Cricetulus griseus: one gene and its partners. The protein of the gene in region 3 purifies or fractionates together with the protein of the main gene of each other region. This does not show direct contact. Links are inferred from orthologs where the notes say so. Each region holds a gene or a part of one and is shown on either strand. Other genes may lie near its edges.

Region 1 (7,982 bases), on a different chromosome or scaffold from region 3:
GCAATTGGTTGCTTTCTCCTTAGTTTTGTGATTGGAACTAAGACAGCTGCCTGTTTTGTTGTACAACAATTATTTGAACCAGAAGGTTTTGATGGCTGCACAGGTGAAAAAGATAAAGAAAAGAGAGCCCTGTCTTGTATTTTTGAAAATAGGCAGATACATCACAGACTTCCTAAAATATTTCATTAGGCCTTGGGCTGCTTGTTTTTTGTCAACTTGACACAAACCAGAGCTGCCTGGAAATAGGACATTCAATTGAGGAATTGCCTAAATAAAATTGTTCTGTGCCGAGGTCTGTGAGAGGCCATCTTGACAAATGAATAATGTGGGAGGGTCCAGTCTAGTCTGGGAGGCACCATCCCTAGGCTGGTGGACCCGGCCTGTATAAAAACAAGTAGGCAAACAAACTACCAAGCTGAGCATGAGCCTAAGAGCCAGGCAGTAAGCAGCATTCCTCCATTGTCTTGCCATCCCTCAATGATAGACCTGAAAGTATAATACAAAAAAAAAAAAAAAAAAAAAAAACCCTTTGTGGAGCCAGGTGGTGGTGGCACACAACTTTAATCCCAGTGCTCGGGAGGCAGAGGGAGGCTGATCTCTGTGAGTTCGAGGCCAGCCTGGTCTACAATAGCTAGTTCCAGGACAGCCTCCAAAGTCACAGAGAAACCCTGTCTCAAATAAAACAAAAAACCAAAACCTTGGTGGGGGCTGGAGAGATGGCTCAGTGGTTGAGAACACTGACTGCTCTAAAGAAGGACCCGAGTTCAATTCCGAGTAACTACCTGACACCTCACAACTGTCTGTAACTCCAGGTCTAGGGGATCTGACACCCTCATACAGACATGGATGCAGGCAAAATGCCAATGCAAATGAAATAAAAATAAACATTAAAAATAAAGATCCTTTGTGATGGCACTCTTGGTTGTCAACTTGACCACATCTGGAATTAACTAAAACCCCAAAAGTCAGGGCATATCTGTGAGGGATTGTTGCTTAATTTGAAGTGGGAATTTCTTCTTCTTCTATTATTACTACAGTGTTACAGTGTTTCTATGTGTAGCTTTATAGACCAGGCTGGCCTCGAATATATATATATATATATATATATATAGAGAGAGAGAGAGAGAGAACATTCTATAAGTTCTGTTATTCTAGAGAACCCTAATACCCTTTCCTCCTAAGTGGCTTTTGGTCAGAGTGTTTTACTACAGCAACAGAAGAGGTAACTGGAGCCACCTTGTAAACCTATATTGGACTTCTGACCCCCAGAACTGTAGGATAGTAAATCTGTGTTGTTTCAGGCCCTGGCATTGTTACTAAGTTGTTACAGTAGCAATAAGAAACTAGCACAGGGAGGTGGAAAGACAGTTTATGTGCAACATGTAACACACAATTGTTTAATTTCTTTTAAAGACATTTGGACTTTTTATTCCATGTAGACTTGAGACAAAAAAAAATTTAGAACATCCATCAAGAAATTATGATGATAGTTGGGCATGGTGGTACATGCCTTTAATTCTAGCCCTTGGGAGCCAGAATCAGGCAGATCTCTGAGTTCTGAGTTCCAGGCCAGCCTGGTCTACAAAGTGAGTTCCAGTATAGCCAGGGCTACACAGAGAAACCCTATCTTAAACAAACAAACAAAAATCAAGATCAAAGTATCCACACAATGGAAGGAGAAAAATGACTCATAAAGCCAAAGCCATCCTCTGACTTCCATACATGAACCATGGCATGAACCTGTCCACACAACATGCATAGGCACAGCATAAGTAAATAAGTAAACCTAGCCAGGTGGTGGTGGTGCACGCCTTTAATCCCAGAGCTCAGGAGGCAGAGGCAGGTGGATCTCTGTGCGTTCAAGACCAGCCAGATCTACAAGAGCTAGTTCCAGGTGAGCCTCCAAAGCCACAGAGAAACCATGTCTCAAAAAAACAACAATGAAAAAAAGTAAAAGTAAAAATAAGAGCTAGAGTTATTAGATTTTTCCTTTCTAATTTACACCAATCTTTCAAATTTTGAAAATTGTCAAGTAAAAAGGTACTCTGAAGTTACATTTGAAAAATCATCAAAACTTTTTTTTTGGGGGGGGGGTAAAGACAGGGTTTCTTTGTGTGGCCCTGGCTGTCCTGGAACTCACTTTGTAGACCAGGCTGGCTTCAAAGTCATGGAGATCCACCTGCCTCTGCCTCTAGAGTGCAGGGATTAAAGGCACATGCCACCACCACCTTCTGGTAGCCACCAAGCTTTAATAGCCATAACAAGAACAGATGTTACTTGGTTTATTGATGATTCCAGACCAATCTGCATCTGGTGCCCTTTAAAAAACAAACCAATATTCATTTATTTGTTGGTGGGGTTGGGGGTAGCCAGAGGCGCTGAGTAGATGGAGGATTACTTAATAGGAGTTGGTTCTCTCTTTTATTCATGAGATTCATGAGAGTGCTAGCCTTCACAGCTAGGATCTTGAAACAAAAACAAAACACAGCTAGGATCTTTACCTGAATGAGCCAGGCCTGGTGAGTTTTTCAATGGGAAGGAAAGAAATGGGTGAGGCTGTTGGAAATAAGAGAGAGGTCTCTGAATCACGTACCGGTGCAAGAAGGTGTGTGTGTACCTTTACGAGCCACATAACCCCTAGTTAAATCACTTATGTTCTATTAGGCCTTAGTTCTCTATCTGTAAAATGGGATGTTTGGACACCTTTTTAAATTTCCCTTCTAGCTCAGCATTCTGAATTCAGGAGTTCCTAGATTTAAGATATGTTTGCTTTGTTGCATGAGCTCTAAAAGGAAGTTAGAAGCCTCGAAAGAAAACCTTCTGCACACATAAAGAGGAAAAAAAAAAAGCAAGGGCAATGGGGGAGGAAGGAGGAGGATAAGGGAAGAAGCGAAAAGACAACCGACTGTATACAGAAAAGAGATGCAGGCATGAAATACACAAATAACTCAAGGTACACAAATACACAAAATTCGGTTGTCTTTTAGAAGCAGAAATAAGACATTGCCCCGGCCATCACATTTTGCTTTTGATTGTGTACACATAATAACTCCCACCTCTCGAAGCCTCAGAAGCAAAAAAAAAAAAAATAGGAAAAGCTGAAAACGTAAATTTTTTGTTTTTTAAAGAAAAAAGTGCAAGAAGCAGCTTGAAACCGTAGTCTCCGGACAGAAGCGGGTTGTCCCGGCATGCGGGATGGCAATTTCCTGTGCCACCCCGCCATCCTGCCGCTTAAACCAGCACACAAAAGAACCAGTGAGCGCCCTGGGAGCCGCAGCGAGCCCTCCGCCGGGTCCCCAGGCCCGCCCGCTGGGGCCGCTACGCCCTGGTCTCCGCCCCTCGGAAGTGACGTATCGCGCCCCGCCCCCACCGCTAGATCCGCTGCTGCTGCCTCGGCGGGCCGACCTGCAGGAGGAGGCGGCGGCAGCGGCGGCGGCCCAGGCCGAGGGAAGATGGCGGACGGCGTGGACCACATAGACATTTACGCGGATGTGGGCGAAGAGTTCAATCAGGTACGGGAGGGTCTGGGCTCCGCCACGGACGCCGACGCTGCGGCGGCCTGGACGCTCGCCACCAGGGTCGCCGCGGGAGGGCCGCGAGCCGGGCTCGGCTGCAGACCGTGCGCCCTTGGCGCCTCTGGGCCGCGCCGCTGTGTGAGTGTGTGCGCGGCGCGGCGCCCCCTCACCCCTTGTTCTCGCGCGTCGTTTATGCGGGCCGCGGGCTCTGGAGCGCGGGGCCCGGTCGCCGTGCAGCCGCCCGCTCGCCGGCTCGCCCGCCCTCCCTTCCCTCGAGGCGGCCTCACGCCCCATTGTTGGCTACGGCGGCGGGCGCTTCCCGCCGAGCTAGGCCGCGTGTGCGGGGCGGGGAGAACGGGCCGCCGCGCCCCCTCCCCCGCCGCCCGCCTGATGGTGGGGGGAAGCAGCCCTGGCTGGCCCGGCGCGCGCCCGCTCGCCCGCCCGCCCGCCCGTCGCCTCCATCCCGGCCCTGCCGCCGCTGGGTTCCGATTCCTCCCGTCGCTCCATTTTGTGTTTCTTGTCGGCGCACGGTCGCCCTCATGGAAGGCCGCGTTCACAGCCCTTTGTATCCCGCGCGCCGGGTCTCCCGGGCTCCTTTGCTCGCGTTGGCGACAGGTTTCTGCGTGGTGCCCCGGTCCCCGAGGCGGGGAGGGAAGGCGGCTTAGGTGTGGGTACGTCTGCAACAAGTCATCTGACTTCTGGACCCACTGAGTTCATTTTGAAAAAGTCTCACGGTGCGATGGCCCGCCGTGGCCACCGAGGGCTTGCGGGGGCCTTTGAGGCCCGGTCCTTGGCCTTTGTGAAGGGAAATAATAATCTGGGAAGATAAATGGCTTGCGCTAAAGACTTGGATGCTCGGTGGTTGGACAGAACAAAAAGATGGTGGTCTCTCGCTAACAGATCCCGGAGGCTGAAACGGAGAACGTCCACCCGACATTCTTACCGTGTGATAGCTTGCTTACGAGCCGTCGTGGAGGTGACTGTGTTTTGAAAGCCGAGTGTTAGCCCGGTGGGGCCCTACTTCACGATTTGAAAGGCTTGAGAAAGTGAGAAGTATCAGGTTTTCCGGTCTCACCGGCCACGGTCGCCTAGAACTAGCTGGGATGTCTGATGGTGAACATCCTTGGACAGGTCTAGTTACCGGAGTTAGTAACGTTTAGCCTCTTAGTCCTCTCCATATTTTTATTGCATTTTGTATGTTCACGTCACTTTTTTTTTTCCCCAAGTTGCATCCAACGACAGTGCTGCTAAAAGCTGTGGGTTTTTTCTTTTTAATTTTTTATTTATAAAAATGTCCCAGGTTCAGAGGAGAAGCTTAATAAGATGCAATTGATTAATAGCTTACCTTCTAATAATCGTATTTATGACTAGGGATGCAAGATTTAAAAAAACAAAACAATGGAAACTCTTAAATCCTTACTTGCTTTGTTTTTCAACAATGACAGTGTGCCTCTGGTTTAAGTATTAGAAAAAGAGAAGCAAATTTTGATAGGGTTTAATTACTGCTGACTTAGACACTAGATATTTTTAAATGTAATTAACCCGTTGCAATAAAACGTTAAGTTTGAAAATCTGTTTTTTATCGTGCCTGAGTTGTTAGTTACAACTTAGAAATTTTCTTTTGAGTGCTACAGAAATAGTAGATTAGTTAAGACCTCCGGATCCCCCCCCCTTTCATCTATCATGACATGTAGCATTTCCAAAACACTGTCATAACTGTGACTAAAGGAAAAATAAAAGTTTGAAACAGTCTTCATTAGCTTTTTTTAAAAATAGTTTTTTCCCAAGACAGAGTTTTTCTGTGTATCCCTGAATGTCCTAGAACTCACTGTGTAGACCAGGCTGACTTCAAACTCAGAACTCAGATCTGCCTGACTCTGCCTCCAGAGTTCTGGGATTAAAGGTGTGAGCCACAACTGCCTGGCTATCATTCACTTTTTTCACTAAGAGAACATATTGCTTTGTTTTTGTGCTCTCAGTAAGGAGGAATTGGGATACAGTTTTAGAAATTAAGGTTTCTCAATTGGTCATGGTGGCACAAACTTTAAATCCCAGCAACCAAAGTTGTGCTTTACCAAAATGCAAAATAAGCTTATAAAACTATGCCTATTTTAAATAGTAAATGGAGAACAAGATTAGTGTCTACACAATTTCAGAGAACACCAAGTACAATTAAAACTACTGCTCACAATAGAGAACAAAAGATGTGTTTAGAGGCTGGAGAAGGTGGCCCTGTGGTTAGAGGACAGTTGATCTCTTGAGTTTGAGGCCTGCCTGGACTACAGTGTGAGAGCCTGTCTCCCAAAGAAAAGAAAGATAAGCTTTCTTCGTTATCTCTATGAAATATGTTCAGACTGTTGAATACTTAATTTAGGAAGGACAGTATACTTATGATATAACTGGATGTGGTGCTAGCTAGCAAGAGGTCAAGAAAAGATAACACTTTTTTGATTCCAGTGAGGAACTACTTTGTAGGCCTCCTTTTTATAAGTGTAGCTTTTCATTGACTTGTAGCAGACATGTGTCTGCTACATGGTTGTGTAATTTTACAAGGAAAATCTTTGTAGGTTTAGATAGATTAATTGGAAGGGTAAGTAGAGGCTTTTTCCAAAATCCCTTGTTTGCAGCTCTGGGGACTGAACCCAGGCCCTTGCACATCTAGGTAAGCAAGCACTCTACCACTGAGCTGTATGTTCACTCCAGAGGTATGTTAGTGCTTGCTCTGAATTCCCGAACAAAAAAGTAGCCACCAAAAGATTGTCAGTTATTTTGAGATTTGTCATGTTTTCTATAGATGTTACTACCATTGAAGTGTTTTCATGAGATCCTACCCAGAATTAGAAGCAACAACAAAGTTGTTGATTGATTTAATCTCCCTCTTGCTTGTTTTTCTGTCTTGTAGCTCATGTTGACCTAGAACTTGTGGTACAACTGCTGCCTCAGCCTCTCCAGTGCTGGGATCCCAAATCTGTGCTAGCCATCAGGCTCAGTTCTTTTCCTTCCACTCAGGCCCTTGCACATGATAGGCAAACACCTTATACTCCTGTCCTGCATCCCTGTTATTCTCTTTTCTCTTACTAGGTGGTAGCCTTATTTCTACTAGCTGCTGTAGTTACCAATATGATATTTGATTGTAGTTGAGCAAATATTTTTCAGAACTAATCATTAGCAATTTTTAGTTATTTTGATTTCTAAACATTTATACATATTAGTTTTTTTTTTTTTAATTTTTCTGGGCTGTGTTTGTGTACGCCTTTAATCCCAGCATTTGGGAGGCAGAGGCAGGCAGGCAGGATCTCTGAGTTTGAGGCCAGACTGGTCTGCAGAGCCTGGCTCTGCCTCCCGAGTGCTGAGATTAAAGGAAGAGCCACCGACGCCTGGCTGTGAGCTGCAGTTTTAATTGTATTTTGTATTCTCTGAAATTCTGTGTGTAGTCACTGGTCTTGTTTTGCATTTTGGCAAAGCACAATATTGATTGCATGAAGTATGAGACATGAGTATTAAACGCTTTAATTTGGGATGGGATGAGACTAAGTGCATTTACTTTCTGTACTAGGTGATTTTTAAGAATGGAGAATGAAGACAAGAAGGCATAGAATCATATGGGCAGCTTGGATCTTAAAAGGTTTTGGATGTGGCCAAATGGAGAATAGTTTCTCCATGGAAGGAGAATTTGAACTACTGAATCTGTGCATTTATTACTACTGACTTTCAGTTAAGCAGAAAGCAGAATGCTCCCCTCCAGATTTATTCTTTTATGTGTATGAGTGTTTTTGCCTGCATGTATGTATTTGTATGTGCATTCCTGGTGCCAGTGGAGGTCAGAGGAAGGCATCAGATCCTTTGGAATTGGAGTTGCAGATGGTTGTGAGCCACCATATGGGTGCTAGGAACCCAGGTTTCTAGACAGTGCTCTTAACCCCTGAGCCATCTGTCAAACCCCAAAGTCCAAAACTTTTTGAGTATCCTGTTGTTTTTTTTTTTTTAAAGTTAGATATGCTCAAGTTATATTCTGTAATCCAAATAGTATATATTTTGTTTATCTGGGGGTCAGGTGCTTTTAATGTAGAATTTAGTAGTATCTGGTCTGTCAAACTGTGGGTTATTGATCGTAAGCAGTGCTGATTTAGTTGATCTACTTACTTTAAAAGTAAATGGACCCAGCACTCGGGAGGCAGAGGCAGGTGGATCTCTGTGAGTTTGAGGCCAGCCTGGTCTCCAGAGCAAGTGCCAGGATAGGCTCCAAAGCTACACAGAGAAACCCTATCTCAAACCAAAAAAAAAAAAAACAAAAACAAAAAACCAGTAAATGGAGTAATGACTGGGGTTGGGTCAGTTTTGGAATTAAGGATTTAGATGTCCTCTTTTGTAAAATTTTGTTGAATCATTTCAATTTATACTTAGTCATTGTTTATTGTAAATGAACTATTTTTCTTGTGGAACCTTATGATAACTTAATGAAAATAG
Region 2 (8,004 bases), on a different chromosome or scaffold from region 3:
ACGGTGGTGCATACCTGTAACCCAGCTGAGAGGGGAGGACTGAGAGTTCTAGGCCAGCCTGGGCTGGACCTTCTATCTAAGTGGAGGAAGGAACCGGGGGCACATTTTTGAACCTAGAAAAGGTTCAAACCTTTTATTGTATTTAATTGATCCAGGCGCATTTCTACTACTAGGATTTTGAATTTCATTGTTTATAAGCAGGGGCCAAACTGCCTACTAAGTACTCCAAAGACAGTAGGTGGTTTCTTCTCTCTGGGTCCAAAGAGCTCTTTCCAGAGAGCATAGCGTGAGTGGGCACTTCCATTCCCGGGTCATTGGTCCACAGTTATGTATGTTGAGTCAGGTCTAGGCTTTATTATAACTCTAACCATGAGCAATCAAGCTTTTAGCCAGTGTTTAGGGTTGTCTGGGTACTCGATTTCTTTGATAAAATGGTTGCATTACCAAGTTTCTGAAAAGCTCTCTAGAAAGTGTGTCCTTTTAAAGTGTATTTTTCCTATATACACAAAGGGGCTGGGGTGTTTATTTAGCCTAGCTTGATAAGAGAAACTTTGTATTTTTACTAGAGCATTCATTATGCTGGTTAAAGAAAACAAGGGGAGACAGTCTGTTCCCCAGTGATGAACAGTTCCTGTTCCCCAGCAAATTAATATGGTGTTTTCTGGGTCAAGGAAAAATTAGCTTACATTGACTGACTCCATAACAAGCACTGGGAACTTACCATGGAGTGACTGGCTGCAGTGAGTACTAGGCACTTCCCAGAAAAGGAGTGAAGGATACAGTTTCTGAGTAACTTAATGTTTCTGTGCAGAATATGTTCATCACTTTAACATTGTGGCAAAATTTTAATAGAGTATTTACTTTTTTATTGGGCTTTTAAAACAAGTGGGTTTTTTAACAAAGCTGCTCAGGGATTAAATCAGATGGAAACCCCATTCTGACTCCACATATTACTACAGAGAAGTTAATGCTTATCTTAAGCTGCAGAGCAGTGCCCTTTAAGCTTTCTTAAGAAAGTAAATTGTTGATGGCAGTGGTCACACATGCCTTTAATCCCAGCACTCAGGAGGCAGAGGCAGGCGGATCTCTGTGAGTTCAAGGCCACCCTGGTCTGCAGAGCAAGTTCCAGCACAGACAGGGCTACACAGAGAAATCCTGTCTCAAAAAACCAAAAAATAAGAAATGTGAAATGTGGGCTGGAGAGATGGCTTAGCAGCTAAGAGCACCGACTGCTCTTCCAGAGGTCCTGAGTTCAATTCCCAGCAACCACATGGTGGCTCACAACTATCTGTTATGAGATCTGGTGCCCTCTTCTGGTGTGCAGATATACATGGAAGCAGAATGTTGTACACATAATAAACAAATAAAATCTTTAAAAAAAAATGTGAAATGATTCATGATTTTACTGCAATACAACCTGAGCTACTGAGAGTTACTTTAGTGTTTAGGTAAACTCTCTCCGACCTGAAGAATCCAATCTCGACTGTACAGCCTCAAACACTGAAGGTGAACAACCCTGAAACACCCAGGGCAACGGTTTCATTGCCAGGTTCCCATGAAAACCTTTGCACCTCTGCCAGCTCAAACAAGACTCCAAAGCAGCAAAACATTTACTGTGATACAAATCCTTGTACTCAGTTACCAGGATCTGTTTGGAACTATGGCCATGCATCTCCGATGCCATTCCTTGAGCTCATAAGCTAGACTGTACCTGTGGGGAAACCATTTTATGTTAATTTGTTGTACTGTAGGAAAAAACCTAAAAAGCAAAAATATCAAGGTGATTTGAACTTGTGCTGTACTCTGATTTCAAACATAAAAACAGTCCTGTGTAGTGCTTTTGACTATCAAATACATAAAAAAATGAATCTTTGTTTATGATTCTTTTGTTGGACTTCTTTCCCTTATTTATAGAATGCTGTTTAGATTATTAAACAGTAGTCTTATTGCCATTCATTTCGTAAGACTTGGTATCTATATTTTGGGGTTTTTTTCCAGACAGGTTTTGTTTTTTTTGTTTTTTTGTTTGTTTTTTTTTAACTCCGTGGCTTTGGAGGCTGTCCTGGAGCTAGCTCTTGTAGACCAGGCTAGTCTCGAAATCACAGAGATCTGCCTGCCTCTGCTTCCCAAGTGCTGGGATTAACAGTGCCTGCCATCACCGCCCAGCTGCCAGACAAGATCTATGTAACCCTGGCTGTTCTGAAACCCACTGTGTAGACAGGGCAGGCTGTCTCCTTAAACTCAGAGCTGTCTCCTTCCAGGTGCCGGGAGTATAAGACATGAGTGTTTGTTGTTTATGTGTTTGCCTGTTTAACCTACATGTCTGCACCACACTCACGCCTGGTGTTCATGGAAATCAGAGTCTGATGCCCTAGAAACTCCAGATAGATCTGGGACTAGAACTCTAGTCCTCTGCAAGAGTAACAAATGATCCTAACCACGGAGCCTTACGTCCAGCCTCTGGTATCTTCAATTCTTAACATAATGTGATGATGTAAGCCATGAATTCCTGCTTCCAGGAAAATGATAGTCCATTAAAAGCTGGATGAACTATTAGGGGGTGCAGAGGTTTCCAAAATAGATGCCACTGCATAGCAGCTGGGTGCAGGTCAACTTGAGCATTCCCGATGTTTAGAAGGTTCCAGAAGTGGTTTTTTGTTTTGTTTTTCGAGACAGGTTTTCTCTGTGGCTTCTTTTGGAGGCCGTCCTGGAACTAGCTCTTGTAGATCATGCTGGCCTTGAACTCAAAGATCCAGATCCGCCTGCCTCTGCTTCCCAAGTGCTGGGATTAAAGGCGTGCACCACCACCACCGCCCAGCAAAAATTCCAGATGCATTGTCCAAGGCTACAGCTTATTAAGGGTTTGAAAGAAGGGATCTGCGGATTAAATAAAACAGCGGGTCACTCTTGAAAGAAGAATGCCAATTTTATTTAGAGGGGAGTTGATTTATATACCATCAGCAGCACCCTAGGAAGTAACTCAGATCAAAGTCCATGCTCTTAAGGCCCTGACAATATGCAGATAATTTGCATATTTGTAAACAGGCCGTGTCTGCAGGAGGGAAAATGAATAGCACCTAGCCATAAGGCAGCCAGTAGCTCCCCAAGGGTCCTGTGGATCAGAGAAGAAAAGCAGACTCCCAGGGGGTCCCCCACATCCAGAAGACTTTTAAGTGAGGTGATCTCAGAGTATGTGGATTGAGAAGAGTGGGCAGTAAAGGAGAGACAGCCCATCAGCCCAGGGAGAACAGAGCTAAGGGATTCAGGACATCCCCGTTGCACTGGAGGCCCTCAGCAGAGGGCGCAGTCTGGCTCGGTTCCTGTCGCCCGGTGACGTAAGAGACCTTCCCGGGCGGGGGCGTGGCTTCCGGCGGTGTTCGAGGTCATATATACTGTCTTGCTCGACAGGGTCGTCACTCACTCCGCACGTGTCTTCCTCACCATGCTTTCTCTGCTGCGCTGCGTGCCCCGCGCCCTGGGCGCCGCTGCCACGGGCTTCCGCGCCGCTGCCCCGGCCTCGCCTCTCCCGCAGCTGCTGCAGCCCGCGCTTCGACCGTGCCTCCGGCCCTTCGGGCTGCTCAGCGTGCGGGCCGGCTCCGCACGGCGTTCCGACCTCTTGAAGCCCCCGGCGCCCTGCTCCTGCGGCTGTGGAGCTCTGCACACCGAGGGTAAGATTCACGCATCCAGGCCGGGATGTGGGGACCCAGCTTGGAACGGATCCCGAGCTGGACCCTCGCGATCGCAGGCCCCACTCCTCGTATCTTGGAAATATGACTTGGCAAAAGCCCGGAGGGGTCGTGGTTTGACAATGTGGTTGCTGGACATGGCTTTTGGCAAGTGAAAGCGGGTAGTTGGGAATTCTTGTTTTATACGGAGAGCAATAATACTAAGTACACTAAGGAGAAATAACTGCTAGAAGAGACATCCTGGTTTTACAGAGTGGGAAACGGACGTTTTCCGGAGTGAATTGGGCTAGAGTCATAGAGCAGCCATAGAAACAGATTAGGCACAGTCCAGGTCTATAGGGTAAGGCAGTTGGCTTTCTCTTTTTTGACCATGTTGGGTTGTCTTTTAGGAGACAAAGCCTTTGTTGAATTCTTAACGGATGAAATTAAGGAAGAGAAGAAAATCCAGAAGCATAAATCCCTTCCCAAGATGTCTGGGAATTGGGAGCTGGAAGTGAACGGGACAGAGGCTAAATTATCGCGCAAAGTTGCTGGAGAAAAGTAAGTACTGGCCCTGGAGTTCTAGGAGACTTTATCACTTACTCTGTCTTGGCCATCCCCATTAGGCCTGAGCTTAGGCCCCATGCTTTGGTAAAATGGCTTTTGAGAAAGCATGCAATTGGAAATTTTCTTAGGTTCCAGGGAGGACATTCACTGACAGATTTGCTGTGGCCTGGTAATTAATGTGTAAAGGGAAGGCTGTTGGGATGGCAGACACAGGCAAGCATTGGGTTATTGGTGACAGTGCTGTGCCCTGCCTGGATTTAGGCACTAGATTTTAGGAATGTTTAAAGTGCTGATTTGTTTAGAATTCACATAAAATTATCTCCTCTGGCTTGTGTTTATAACAGTTGAAAATGCAAGATATGTAACTTTTGTTTTTCGAGACAGGGTTTCTCTGTGGCTTCTTTTGGAAGCTGTCCTGGAGCTAGCTGTTGTAGACCAGGCTGGCCTCTTACTCACAGAGATCCGCCTGCCTCTGCCTCCCAAATGCTAGGATTAAAGGCGTGCGCCACCACCCACCCCGGCACGCCCATGCCTTTAGTCCCAGCCCACCTTTCTCTGAATTTGAGGTCAGCCTGGTCTACAAGAGCTAGTTCCTGGCCAGGCGTTGGTGGGGCATGCCTTTAATCCCAGCACTCGGGAGGCAGAGGCAGGAGGATCTCTATGAGTTCGAGGCCAGCCTGGTCTCCAGAACAAGTGCCAGGATAGGCTCCAAAGCTACACAGAGAAACTCTGTCTCGAAAACACAAAAAAACTAGTTCCTGAACAGCCTTCAAAGCCACAGAGAAACCCCGCCTCAGAACCCCCCCCCAAAAAAAAGTAACAGGATGAAATTACAGTGTAGAAAGGCCATCAGAGGTAGAGTTCTTTGTCAAGCTTAGCTTACCCCTCCCCTAAACGGGTCTCTATGGTACTTTGTAGCACAGACTGGTTCTTCATCCTTCTGCTTCAGATCCTATGTGCTAAAGTTTCAGGCCTATGCTACTACACCTGCTGCCCCTAAAACCTTTAACTTTGTTATGCTGATTTGTTACTCTTTCACCAGTCTTAGAGTCCTGCCTCTAAGGGCTTCTCTAGCATGTGTGAGGCCCAGGGTCAGCCCCCAGTGAGTGCCCCTTAAACACACATGTGTAAGAAAGCAGCTTTATCCAGTGGGGGCCTGTAACCCTAGTTCAAAGCTAGGCTGGGCTGTGGTGGTACACACCTTAAATCCCAGGGAGGCACATCTCTTGAGTTCAAGCTCAACCTGCTCTATAGAGCAAGTTCCAGGACAGCCAAGGCTTGAAAAACCTTAGAAAAGTTCAAAGCCAGAAGAAAAGGGTCATTGACTCTGGGGTGTGGCCACATTTGGTGATTGTCTTCTAACAGGGTGGAAAAGTTCTCTCAAAATTTGCAGGGCAGTGGTGGTGCACACCTTTAATCCCAGCATTTGGGAGGCAGCCTGGACTACAGAGTGAGCTCCTCTCCTAACCACCCTCCCTACCAAATCCAACTACATGCCCTGTCTCTTACAAAAAAAAAAAAAGACAAACCACCAGGCACACCAGTACTCAAGAGGAAGTGGCCAGTGGATCTTTAAAGTCAAGGCTAGCCTAATCTAAGTAATGTGTATAAAATAGCATTGAGTTTGTTTTGTGTTGGCCATTGGGACCTACCCTGAAGTATGATATACCTATTCATTGTAGAAGACTGATTTTTTTCTCTTTGCAGCCAGTACCAATTGCAGATATCTTGGCTTGGGAGCAGGAGCCCAACTAGCTTGAATATACCTAGCAAAGCCCCATTTCTAAACAGTACAGGTTGACACTAGTGGGTGTCAATCTTGGGTAGATCCATGAAGCCCTGGACTTGATCCCTAGCACCAAGGATGGAGAGATGTCTGGCCCTCTTAATATCATTAATTTAAGGAATTAGGTTCCTGCATACATGAGGGGAAAATGTAAGCCATGTTCAGACTGCCTGCCTAACATGTGTGGGGCTCTGGATTCAATCTCCAGCACTACACACACTTAGACTTTTTAATGTTAGGGCTAAGAAACCATTGCCTGGCCAAAGGTTGCAAAGAGTTCTGCAATTCAGTGTGCTTTTATGTGGGTTGGCACTGCTGAAGTAGAATGGTCCTGAACTTCTGCTTCCAGGTATCATGGCAAAGAAATTTATCTCATTTAGAGCATGTTTTGTCACATACTAATTCCTAACAAGGTAAAGTTACCTGGGCACAGGGACAGTATGCAGCTGTGAACGTTTGCCTGGTGTTTGCTTGAGCTCAAACCTCAGAAAGGGGGGGAAGGAAAATTGTTACTGGTGGTTCATTTGCCTTGTGGCTAAAGTTCTTAATCCCCCATGCAGAGGGCTGGGTTGGAGACATTGTTTCCGTGTGCCTTTGCACCTGCCTTTTGTAGCAGGCCTCTCTCTTCTGTGTACCACTTGGTTACTCTTGTACCTTAGTGTGTTCTCACTTGATTTTCTAGGATCACTGTCACTTTCAACATTAACAATAGTATCCCTCCAACATTTGGTGGTGGTGAGGAGGAGCCCTCCCAAGACCAGAAGACTGAAGAACAGGAGGTAAGCTAGTGATACTGTGGCCAGCCATTTTTCTGTCTTAAAAGGCAAGAAAGACTTGGGGTTGGGCGGTGGGAGTTGTTGGTTTGGGTTTTTGTTTTTGTTTTTGTTTTTTTTAAACATAGTCTCCCTATAACAGTCCTGAGTGTCCTGGAACTTGGTTTGTAGATCAAGCTGGCCTCGAACTCAGAGTTAACTGCTAAAATTGTTTCTGAAATTCCTTTTGTGCATATGATTAATGCCAGCACATGAGAGGCAGGGGAGTCTGAGTCCCAGGACAGCCAGGGCTACACAGAGAAACCCCGTCTCAACCAATTACCCCGCCCCCCCCAAAAAATTTTTTTCCTTATGAAAGAGGAAGTGGGAATGCCATTCCCTGGGTTTGTAGAGCAGTATTTTGGAATGGGTTTCAGCTGGAGGTGAGAGCCCTGTTCTAGGGTATATTGCCCCCTCTGCAGGGTTTAGGCTTGATTGTCGGGCCTGTGTTCTGTAAATGCAAAAGAGATATGACTGTCACCCCTGCCTGTGTTGTAGGGGGAGTACTTAGTGTCAAGACAACATCATTTGACATGTATTCAGTGTAAAGACAACACAAGCAGCTTGCAGGAATCAGTTTCATCCTGCCATGTGGGTTGCACTGGGCTTTGGGAGCAAACACCTTTACTTGATTAGCCATTTTGCTAGTCCAGCCTTAAGAGATTTTATATTTGGCCAGCTGAGATTTTTCCTTAGGTTGCTGGCCCACATGGCTGGATCTAGATAGTATTCGAACATCTTAGAAATGGTATGTCTGGCCTAGAAGCCAACAGCTGTGAGAGCCACAGGCTCCCCAGGCCATCTGACTATGCAGTTGTCAGCACTGTTTACAGACCAGTGTGAAATGCAGAGTCCCCTGTTGTGTTTCTGTCATAGTCTACATGCACACCCCAACTCCTTATGTATAGTTTGGGCCTGTTCCTTGGGTCACCATAGAAGGAAGTTGGATGTCTTTTCTGGTTAAGGTGGCCACTTAGCCAGAGCTATGTGTGCCAGGCTCTGACCCTGCTCTAAAGCAGCCACAGGGGAAGGCACTCCAGGTCTGTGTGCTTCACCCAGCACTTCAGTGTGTGGGAGCAGAAACAACTCTGAGGGTCTGGTACAGGTCTGAGCTAGAACATAGCTGTACCTGGCTTCAGGCACCACTTTAAACCCCTGTGTTCTTTTAGAAAGT
Region 3 (7,968 bases):
TGGTATCAGGCAACCACAGCTCTCTCGGGCTCTGAGCCCTTAGGCCCCACCCTTTGTGTGATGACCCACTGGCTGGCCTGTGTCTGTCTCCTTTCTTGGACCCACTGGCTGGCCTGTGCCTGTCTTCTTTCTTGGACCCTCATGTCCTTTGGCCTCAGCCCCAGATTGAGGAATCACCGAGGTGGCTTGTGCCTTTCTTGTTCTATCCTCACTTGGAAAGTCATTGGGTCTCGTTCTACCTCACTCATGGGGCATGCGCCTACCAGAAATCCGCTTCCCAGCACTTTTAATCTCTCCATGCTGGAACCCTACCAACCTGTGTCACCTTCAATCCATCTGCTGTCTTCCACCTGCAACAAATCTGCTTTTTTGTTTGCTGATGGCTTTGTTTGGGTCTCTGGTGGGGTTATCCACTTCTGGCCATGCCCCCTGGATGTGAGGCTTCCCTTCTTGAGCACAGTCCTTTCCTCTACTTCTGGCTTTTCCTCAAGTCCTGGTACCAGCTAACTGTGTCTCTCTCGCTCAGAGCCCTTGGCCCCCACCCTTTGAGTGATGACTCACTGGGTGGCCTGTGCCTGTCTTGAAATCGACCCTCTCTGAATTCCTGGGACACTAGGAACTGCAGACCCATGGGTCTTCTCTGCCTCACTCATGGGAGCTGTGATATCGTCTATGCCTCCTTGCTCCCATTCGAGACCCATTGACCATTCTTTTTTTTTTAGATTTATTTATCATATATACACTATTTTGCCTGCATGTATGCCTACACACCAGAAGAGGGCAGCAGATCTCATTGTAGATGGTGTGAGCCACCATGTGGTTGCTGGGAATTGAACTCAGAACCTCTGGAAGAGCAATCAGTGCTCTTAACCTCTGAGCCATCTCTCCAGGCCCCACTGACCACTCTTAATCAGCTGTTGCTGCGGGACTACTACCTGTTGGTCACAGAGCTGGAGGCGCAAGACGACCAAACATGTCCAGTGATGCTGTGGAGACGGGAAAGGTCAGGGGCTTTAAGCCCTAGGGAGTCCACTTGGCTCCACCTAGAATAACGTCTGCCAGGTCCAGGTGGTACCTGACTGTAACACAGAGCCTGGACAGTGAAGTGAAACCGCCGGCTACTTCAGGACGTGGCTAGCACCCCAGCTTTCCCAGGTCCCCCAAAGACGAACGACGCCCCGCCTTGCCCCCCAGGTCAGCAGGAAGTAGTCTTGAGAACACAGTGTTCTCATCCCCACCTCACCTGCCACCCCTTTCTAACTCCTCATCTTTTTATAATAAAAAGGGAAGAATGTTAGTATTCAGGCCATCTGTACTGGCCTGTTGTTTTATGACAAAGCGTGAGGGGAACCTTGGCAGATTCCATGACAGGTGAGAGTGACCTTGGTGGGGGACAAACATGCCAGGCAGACAGAGCTTAATGAGAAGTTTTATTAGAAAGGGAATGGGGGGTGTAAAGAGAAATGAGGTAAAGAGAGACAGAGACAGAGACAGAGACAGAGAGAGGACAGAAGAGAAGAGGGAGACAGGAAAAGTCCTGTCTGCCCCAGGGAAATAGCAGCAAAGAGAGGAGCATATGGGGTCAGGGGTCTTTCTTTTAAAGGGGTCCTTTGCACCGGCCTGCAGACTAGCAGTCCCCCGGACCAGAGTGCTGCCTGAGTGCATTCTGCCACATGACAGTGACAGCGGCCGGCCAGAGTAATGCCTGAATCCTTACACCTGTCCTTGGGGTTCTGACTGGATATGCTCTCAGCTGCAGCCACTAAGATCACCACCTGTGCAAATTCACTATGTTCCCTTTCAAAGGGCCCTGCCACCTCCCAACCTTGTCTTTTCTCCCTCTCTGTCCCTCCCTTCCTCTCTCCTGCTCTTTCTTTCCCCTTTTTATGATCCCTTTCCCTAATTAAAAACAAACAAACCCTGTGCTTGAATCCTGTCCCATGGTATCTTTCTCTCACACTTTTCTTAAATTACAACACCATTACCTACATTTTTCAGGGTCACGGTTATGTTTTATGACAATGTTTGGAATCTGCCATGGAAATAAATTTTAAATGTCCTGCACTAATCACACTTAAATCTTAGGACAGACCTATTTGCTGCAGAAACGGCTCATTATTAGGAATAAAAGCTTTTGCTGTGTTTCAGAGCCCACAGGCTGGGGGTCCCACCACCCACAGAGTGCTTGCTGGCCCACAACCATCGGTAACTCCGGTTCCACGAGATCTGATTCCTCTTAGGCTTCTGCACACACATATATAAAATAGACCTATGAACCATTCTTTTTTGTTTGTTTGTTTTCAAGACAGGGTTTCTCTTTGTAGCCTTGGTTGTCCTGGAACTCAATGCGTAGACCAGGCAGACTGGCCTTGAACTCACAGAGATCCACACCACCACCACGGGGCTATCAAGCACTCTTACTCCTCCAAGGTCAACTGTGGTTGCCTCGGAATTTCTATCTTGACTTCAATTACATTTACTAGCTCAAATAAGCAAGTTAAGAACCCTTTCTAAATTACAACTGCATTTTCGGGGCCCTCCCAGGCTCCCCTGCAGAAGGTCAGGAAGGACGAGGGGGGTTGGGTCGCCCTGGTCTTCCGTGTCCTTGAACCAGCTGTAGAGCCCGCCAAATTGTGTGCTGACTCCACCTTTCCCCGAATTCCATACCAGGAGGGTGGAGCAACCAGAAAACAAAACAAAGGGAAACAAAGTTGGGCGTGGTGTCACAGGCCGGGGGTGCTGGGGAGGCAGGGACAGGAGGATCGCGGCGAGTTTGAGGCCCGACTGAGCTACATAGAGCTAGTTCCTGTCTCAAAACACCAAACCCCGAAACCAACCAATCCTCCACCCCACAAACAAAAATCCCCGAAAACAACAAACTCCCCAAATACCCGGATGTACAAGGCGGGACGGAGTGGGGTGGGGCGGGGGGGGTGGAGTGACGGCTCCCACGCGCATGCGTGTCTCGAAGGCGTAGCCCGAAGCAACCGGCTGAGCGCGAATGTCGAGCGGCGATTGGACGAGACGAGAGCCCGCCCCACCGCGCTGACGTTTGTGCGCATGCTCCGCGCTATCTTCTCGTATTTTCGGTGCTGACGTCGCCCCTGGCTTCAGTTCGCGTCCGGACTTCGGAGGTGGCAGTTCCTGCGCTCCCGGGTCGGTGGGCACTGCAAACCCGGCCGCCTCCGGACCCTGGTTTGAGAGGAAGGTGTCCGCTAGGCTTTTCTCTCGCCCGTGCGAGCACCTCATCGGCTTAAGGTGAGTCGGTGGCGCGGTCGCGGGTGGCCGGGAGCACGGGCTCGCGCTTGTTTGTTCGCGCACGCGCACTCCCGCTTCCGGGGTTGACCCTTGCCCTTTGCCGTCGTTCCTAGCCGCCGTCGCGTTTGCGGAAGAAGCCGGATCCCGAGAAGAGGAAGGAGGAGGTCATGTCCTCGGCCGCCACGTCTAAGTACGTGAACGACATGTGGCCCGGCTCTCCGCAGGAGAAAGCCTCGCCATCCGCGTCGGGCTCGGGCCGCTCCAGCCGCCTGTCGTCGCGCTCCCGCAGCCGCTCTTCGTCCCGCAGCTCCGGCCCGGACTCGCGCAGTGCCAGCCGCTCGTCGTCGCGCAGCCATAGCCGGGCGCGGCGGAGCCGCCGCTCCCGCTCCCGGTCCCGCAGGCGCCACCAGCGCAAGTACAGGCGCTACTCGCGGTCGTACTCCCGCAGCCGCTCCCGCTCCCGCTCCCGCGGCCGCCACTACCACCGAGGAGATGGCTTTTACGGGCCGTCGCGCAGGTACTACCAGTCGCCGTCGCCCTACCGGTCCCGGAGCAGGTCGCGCTCCCGCGGGCGGTCGCATCACCGGAGGTCGTACTACGCCATCACGCGCGGCCGGCGCTACTACGGTTTCGGCCGCACGGTGTACCCCGAGGATCGCCCCCGCTGGAGGGAAAGGTCCAGAACCAGGTCGCGCAGCAGGAGCAGAACTCCCTTTCGCTTAAGTGAGAAAGGTGGGTCTTGGTGTCACTTTGACGCTTGTGCCTTTGGGGTTCTGGGAATTGAGACGCTGCCTTCCAGCCGTCGGCCAGGGAGGAGTCAGGTGGCTGAGCCAGTTTAGTTGGATTGGTAACATTGAAGCCGCAGCCGGGCGCACGCCTTTAATCCCAGCACTCGGGAGGCAGAGGCAGGCGGATCTCTGAGTTCCAGGCCAGCCTGGTCTCCAGAGCTAGTGCCAGGATAGGCTCCAAAGCCACACAGAGAAACCCTGTCTCGAAAAAAAAAAAAAACACACACAAAGATAAAGCCCGGGACCAGGCGCTTTTCCACCGCGTTTTCTTTGGTGTCAAAGATTTCTTGGAGGGAAAGAATTTTCAGCTGGTGAATAGGTAGAATGTAATTTCGCGCACCTTTCACCTTAAGAGTATAGAAAGTCCAAGTCCATTTATGGCCTCGCTGGCCCAAAGACAGGAGTCTCCTACTAGCGGGCCATTTTTAGTATGATCTTAAAATATGTTAATGACTTAGTTTAAGCTGGGAAGCACTTAAAAAACATTTTTTAAGACGATTTACTAGGTGGGAGGATTGGATTTTGCTAACTTTCAGGTGACTTGGTAATATTACAAAATAATAAATTTTGAACATGAATCCTAACACTGCCAAGATTAGTAGTAGTGGTAATAGAACTGTATAGTTACCAAACACCCTAGTTTACAGAAATGCTTGAAAAGACAAACAGTGCTGTTTGTCAGGACAGCTAACTGTAGCCAGTCGTGAGGCAGAGACAGGTGGATCTCCTGAGTTGCAGGCCAGCCTGGTCTATAAAGTGAGTTCCAGGACAGTTGGGATTGTTAAACAGAAACACTCTCAAAACAGGAGAAAAAAATAAAACCTAGTTTTTTGGGTAATTTTGGGAAGCTACTTTTCCCTCAGCATAAAATTGTGATTTTTGTTTTCCAGCAATGTTCATTAAAAGGAATGCATTACTGTTTTAGAAAACATACTTGGTTTGTTATTTGGGGGCTTAAGGAACCTTAGAGGATGATGAATGTTTTTTTAATGCCCTTAGATCGAATGGAGCTGCTAGAAATAGCAAAAGCCAATGCAGCAAAAGCTCTAGGAACAGCCAACTTTGACTTGCCAGCGAGTCTCCGGACTGCAGCCAAGGAAACAAGCCAGAGAGCAGCTGTTTTGAGCAGTGGCGCAAAGATGGAGGTAAGTATCTTCAGAGGGCTACTACAGGCAAATCTCCTTACCCTGTCAGTTTACTGTAGAGAGCCCTCCTGGGATGTCTTAAATCATTTGCCCAGAACAAAACTAATCTGACAAGTACTAGACCGTCTACCAGGAAACTGGGAGATGATGAACTTCCTTTCATTCTGATACTTGGTCAGTTTTTCCATAACAATAAAGCCACTGATTATATTATTGTTAGTACTTTGTCTTTTTCTTGCTCTGTCTAGTCTTTAGAGACTGGAGTGTTCTATCAGTAGCTTTCATTTACAGCATTGTTCCCAAAAGTCTGTGCTCAGTATACAGTATAGTTTATCTGCTTTATTTCTGTCTTATAGAAATCATGAATGTGGTCTCCAGACAATGATGAAGAAAATCTGTTGGTAATTGATTATGGGTTAAAATGCCAGAGTTGATGTTCAGAGACTAAAGCTTAGCTTTTGTTGAAGGTAGTCCATGTGCATGTTAGAGTTTTGGGCTAGGGCTATTTGTGTAAGGTAGTTTGACAGTTCAGCCTGGATGCACTGTGTAATGGTGGGGCATCTGTGCTCTAGATGTCCCGTTCATAATATATGCAATATATTCCAGATGTTTTGAGAGATTACGAAGAAGAGGCCTGCTTCACTTGCAGATAAGTTTATTACAATTCTCCAGAATTACAAAGGATGTGCATTGGCACATTGAACTGTACTTACAAGTTAATTGGTGTGAAACCGGAATCTTAAGTTGATAATAGTCTGGGGATGTAGCTCAGTTGGTCTAGGGTGCATAACACGAGGGGTTAGATCCCAGCAGTGCAAACTGGGTATAGTGCCCCACACTTGTGATCCTAGCACTTGGGAGACAGGATTGTTCAAGGTCATCCTTGGCTACATAATTAGGCCAGCCAGGGGATAGATGAGAGACCTGGTCTCAAAAAAATGCTTTATAGAAATTTAACATAAAAGTTAATTGTCCAGCCAGGCGGTGGTGGCCCACGCCTTTAATCCCAGCGCTCAGGAGGCTGTGGCAGTCAGATCTCTGTTAGTTTGAGGCCACCCTGGTTTACAAGAGCTAGTTCCAGGACAGCCTCTAAACCCACAGAGAAACCCTGTCTCAAACAAAAAAAAAAGTTAATTGTCCAATTAAGATGGTTTCTACTGCCTACTGTTTGCTTAGGCAAGTACCTAAGAGGTGCTCCTGGAGATGATTGAGGCACAACGCAAATGCCTCCAATCTTAACAAAGCGTTTTCTATTGCACTTACTCAAAAATGAGTTATATTCACAACAAAGAATCAGGTATTCCTGGGGAACTGTGTCTACTTCTGAGTCAGTCTTGTTAAGTGGAAACAGTTTCTTTGTTGTCTAGCTTGTTAGCTGGCAATAGATGGAATTTGGTTTGTGTGTCTACATCTACAATTGTGTGCAATTGGGCTGCTTTTTATACAGTATTCAAAAACTAAGGCTATGTTTAAAAATTCTCTACCCCTCTAGCACTCAGAAAATCAAGCTGAAGATGAAACTAAAAATCACAGTGAGAAATCTTCCACACAAAGAAACATAGCCTTCAGCTCTAATGTAAGTATAGCAGAACATTGCCCTTGAAAATTGGATATATTCAGTGTAGGGTTTGTTGTTTTTAACTTGTATTGACAATCTCTGGGAAGTTGACTTGAATTTATTGTCTTACAGAATTCCATAGCAAAGCCGATACAGAAAACAGCTAAAGCTGCTGCTGAAGAGACATCATCAGGGTCACCAAAAATAGATAAGAAAAAAAGTCCTTATGGACTGTGGATACCTGTGTAAAGAAAAACCAAGGGCTGGGGTTCCCTAAAACTGCACTTTACTGAGAGTTCCTGTCCTCCAGCATTCGCCTACCTGCCTGAGTATCATGGCAGTAAATGTTGTGATTAAACTCCATTACATCAAGAAAGATGCTTGATGGTGACATGTTCACAGTTGAGCCTTCTCTTGAAATTATAGGAACACAGATGGACCAGAAAATTGCATACTGATGGAAGTCTTGTATATACTTGTAAGTATTGTATAGTATTGCATATGTATATGGGTGAATTTTGTAAGGCACAGCTGAATACTGTGTATTTTGTACATTTGTTAATAAACTTATTATTTGTCTTGATTTCCTGGATATTGAATGGATCTACTTCTGATGAAGAAACCTTCCTAATCCCAAATCTGAGTCTGAACATGCAAGATTAATTCAGAAGAATGTGTGGTGGGTTGCAGGGAGAGGCTGGTCTTTTAGTTTTAAATGTGTATCCCTGACTATCTTTAGAGTTCCATTGGTAGACCAGCTGGCCTGAATCAAACTTAAAATCTTGTCTCTGCCTCCTGAGCACTCTTAGGTATAGCCTGAGGAGGGCAATAAGAATACTAAGTGTGAGGGTTAAATGTCAAAAGATCCTTCTGTGGCTGGAGAACAGATGCTCAGTGATGTATGTACTTGGCTGTTCTTCCAGTGGACCCAGGTTTGATTCTGAAGACCCTAAGGTGTCTCACAACCATCTGTAACTCCCAATTCCTGGAGATTTAACATCCTCTTGCTGCATGTGGGGCACTGACATACAGGCAGATTAAAAAACAATGGTCTGCCAGGCATTGGTGGCGCACGGCTTTAATCCCAGCACTCGGGAGGCAGAGGCAGGGGGATCACGGTGAGTTCGAGGCCAGCCTGGTCTCCAGAGCGAGTGCCAGGATAGGCTCCAAAGCTACAGAGAAACCCTGTCTCATAAAACCAAAACAAAATCCCCGCAAG

The links.
Region 1: the proteins of Rsrp1 (region 3) and Cpsf6 purify together in Homo sapiens (affinity purification with mass spectrometry; 3 studies listed by BioGRID and IntAct, with this or other methods). This does not show direct contact. The link is inferred for Cricetulus griseus from reciprocal best matches to the Homo sapiens genes RSRP1 and CPSF6.
Region 2: the proteins of Rsrp1 (region 3) and C1qbp purify together in Homo sapiens (affinity purification with mass spectrometry; 3 studies listed by BioGRID and IntAct, counting the BioPlex papers as one, with this or other methods). This does not show direct contact. The link is inferred for Cricetulus griseus from reciprocal best matches to the Homo sapiens genes RSRP1 and C1QBP.

The regions. Positions count from the first base shown.
Region 1 is NW_023276806.1:138,942,492-138,950,473, forward strand, and holds the start of Cpsf6 (cleavage and polyadenylation specificity factor subunit 6), read left to right. Parts: upstream 1-3,355; 5' UTR 3,356-3,452; coding exon 3,453-3,512; intron 3,513-7,982. UniProt on the Homo sapiens protein: Component of the cleavage factor Im (CFIm) complex that functions as an activator of the pre-mRNA 3'-end cleavage and polyadenylation processing required for the maturation of pre-mRNA into functional mRNAs.
Region 2 is NC_048600.1:84,785,356-84,793,359, reverse strand, and holds the start of C1qbp (complement component 1 Q subcomponent-binding protein, mitochondrial), read left to right. Parts: upstream 1-3,377; 5' UTR 3,378-3,442; coding exon 3,443-3,668; intron 3,669-4,075; coding exon 4,076-4,226; intron 4,227-6,700; coding exon 6,701-6,797; intron 6,798-8,004.
Region 3 is NC_048595.1:18,350,323-18,358,290, reverse strand, and holds Rsrp1 (arginine/serine-rich protein 1), read left to right. Parts: upstream 1-3,097; 5' UTR 3,098-3,258; intron 3,259-3,371; 5' UTR 3,372-3,425; coding exon 3,426-3,990; intron 3,991-5,045; coding exon 5,046-5,191; intron 5,192-6,683; coding exon 6,684-6,767; intron 6,768-6,881; coding exon 6,882-6,998; 3' UTR 6,999-7,332; downstream 7,333-7,968.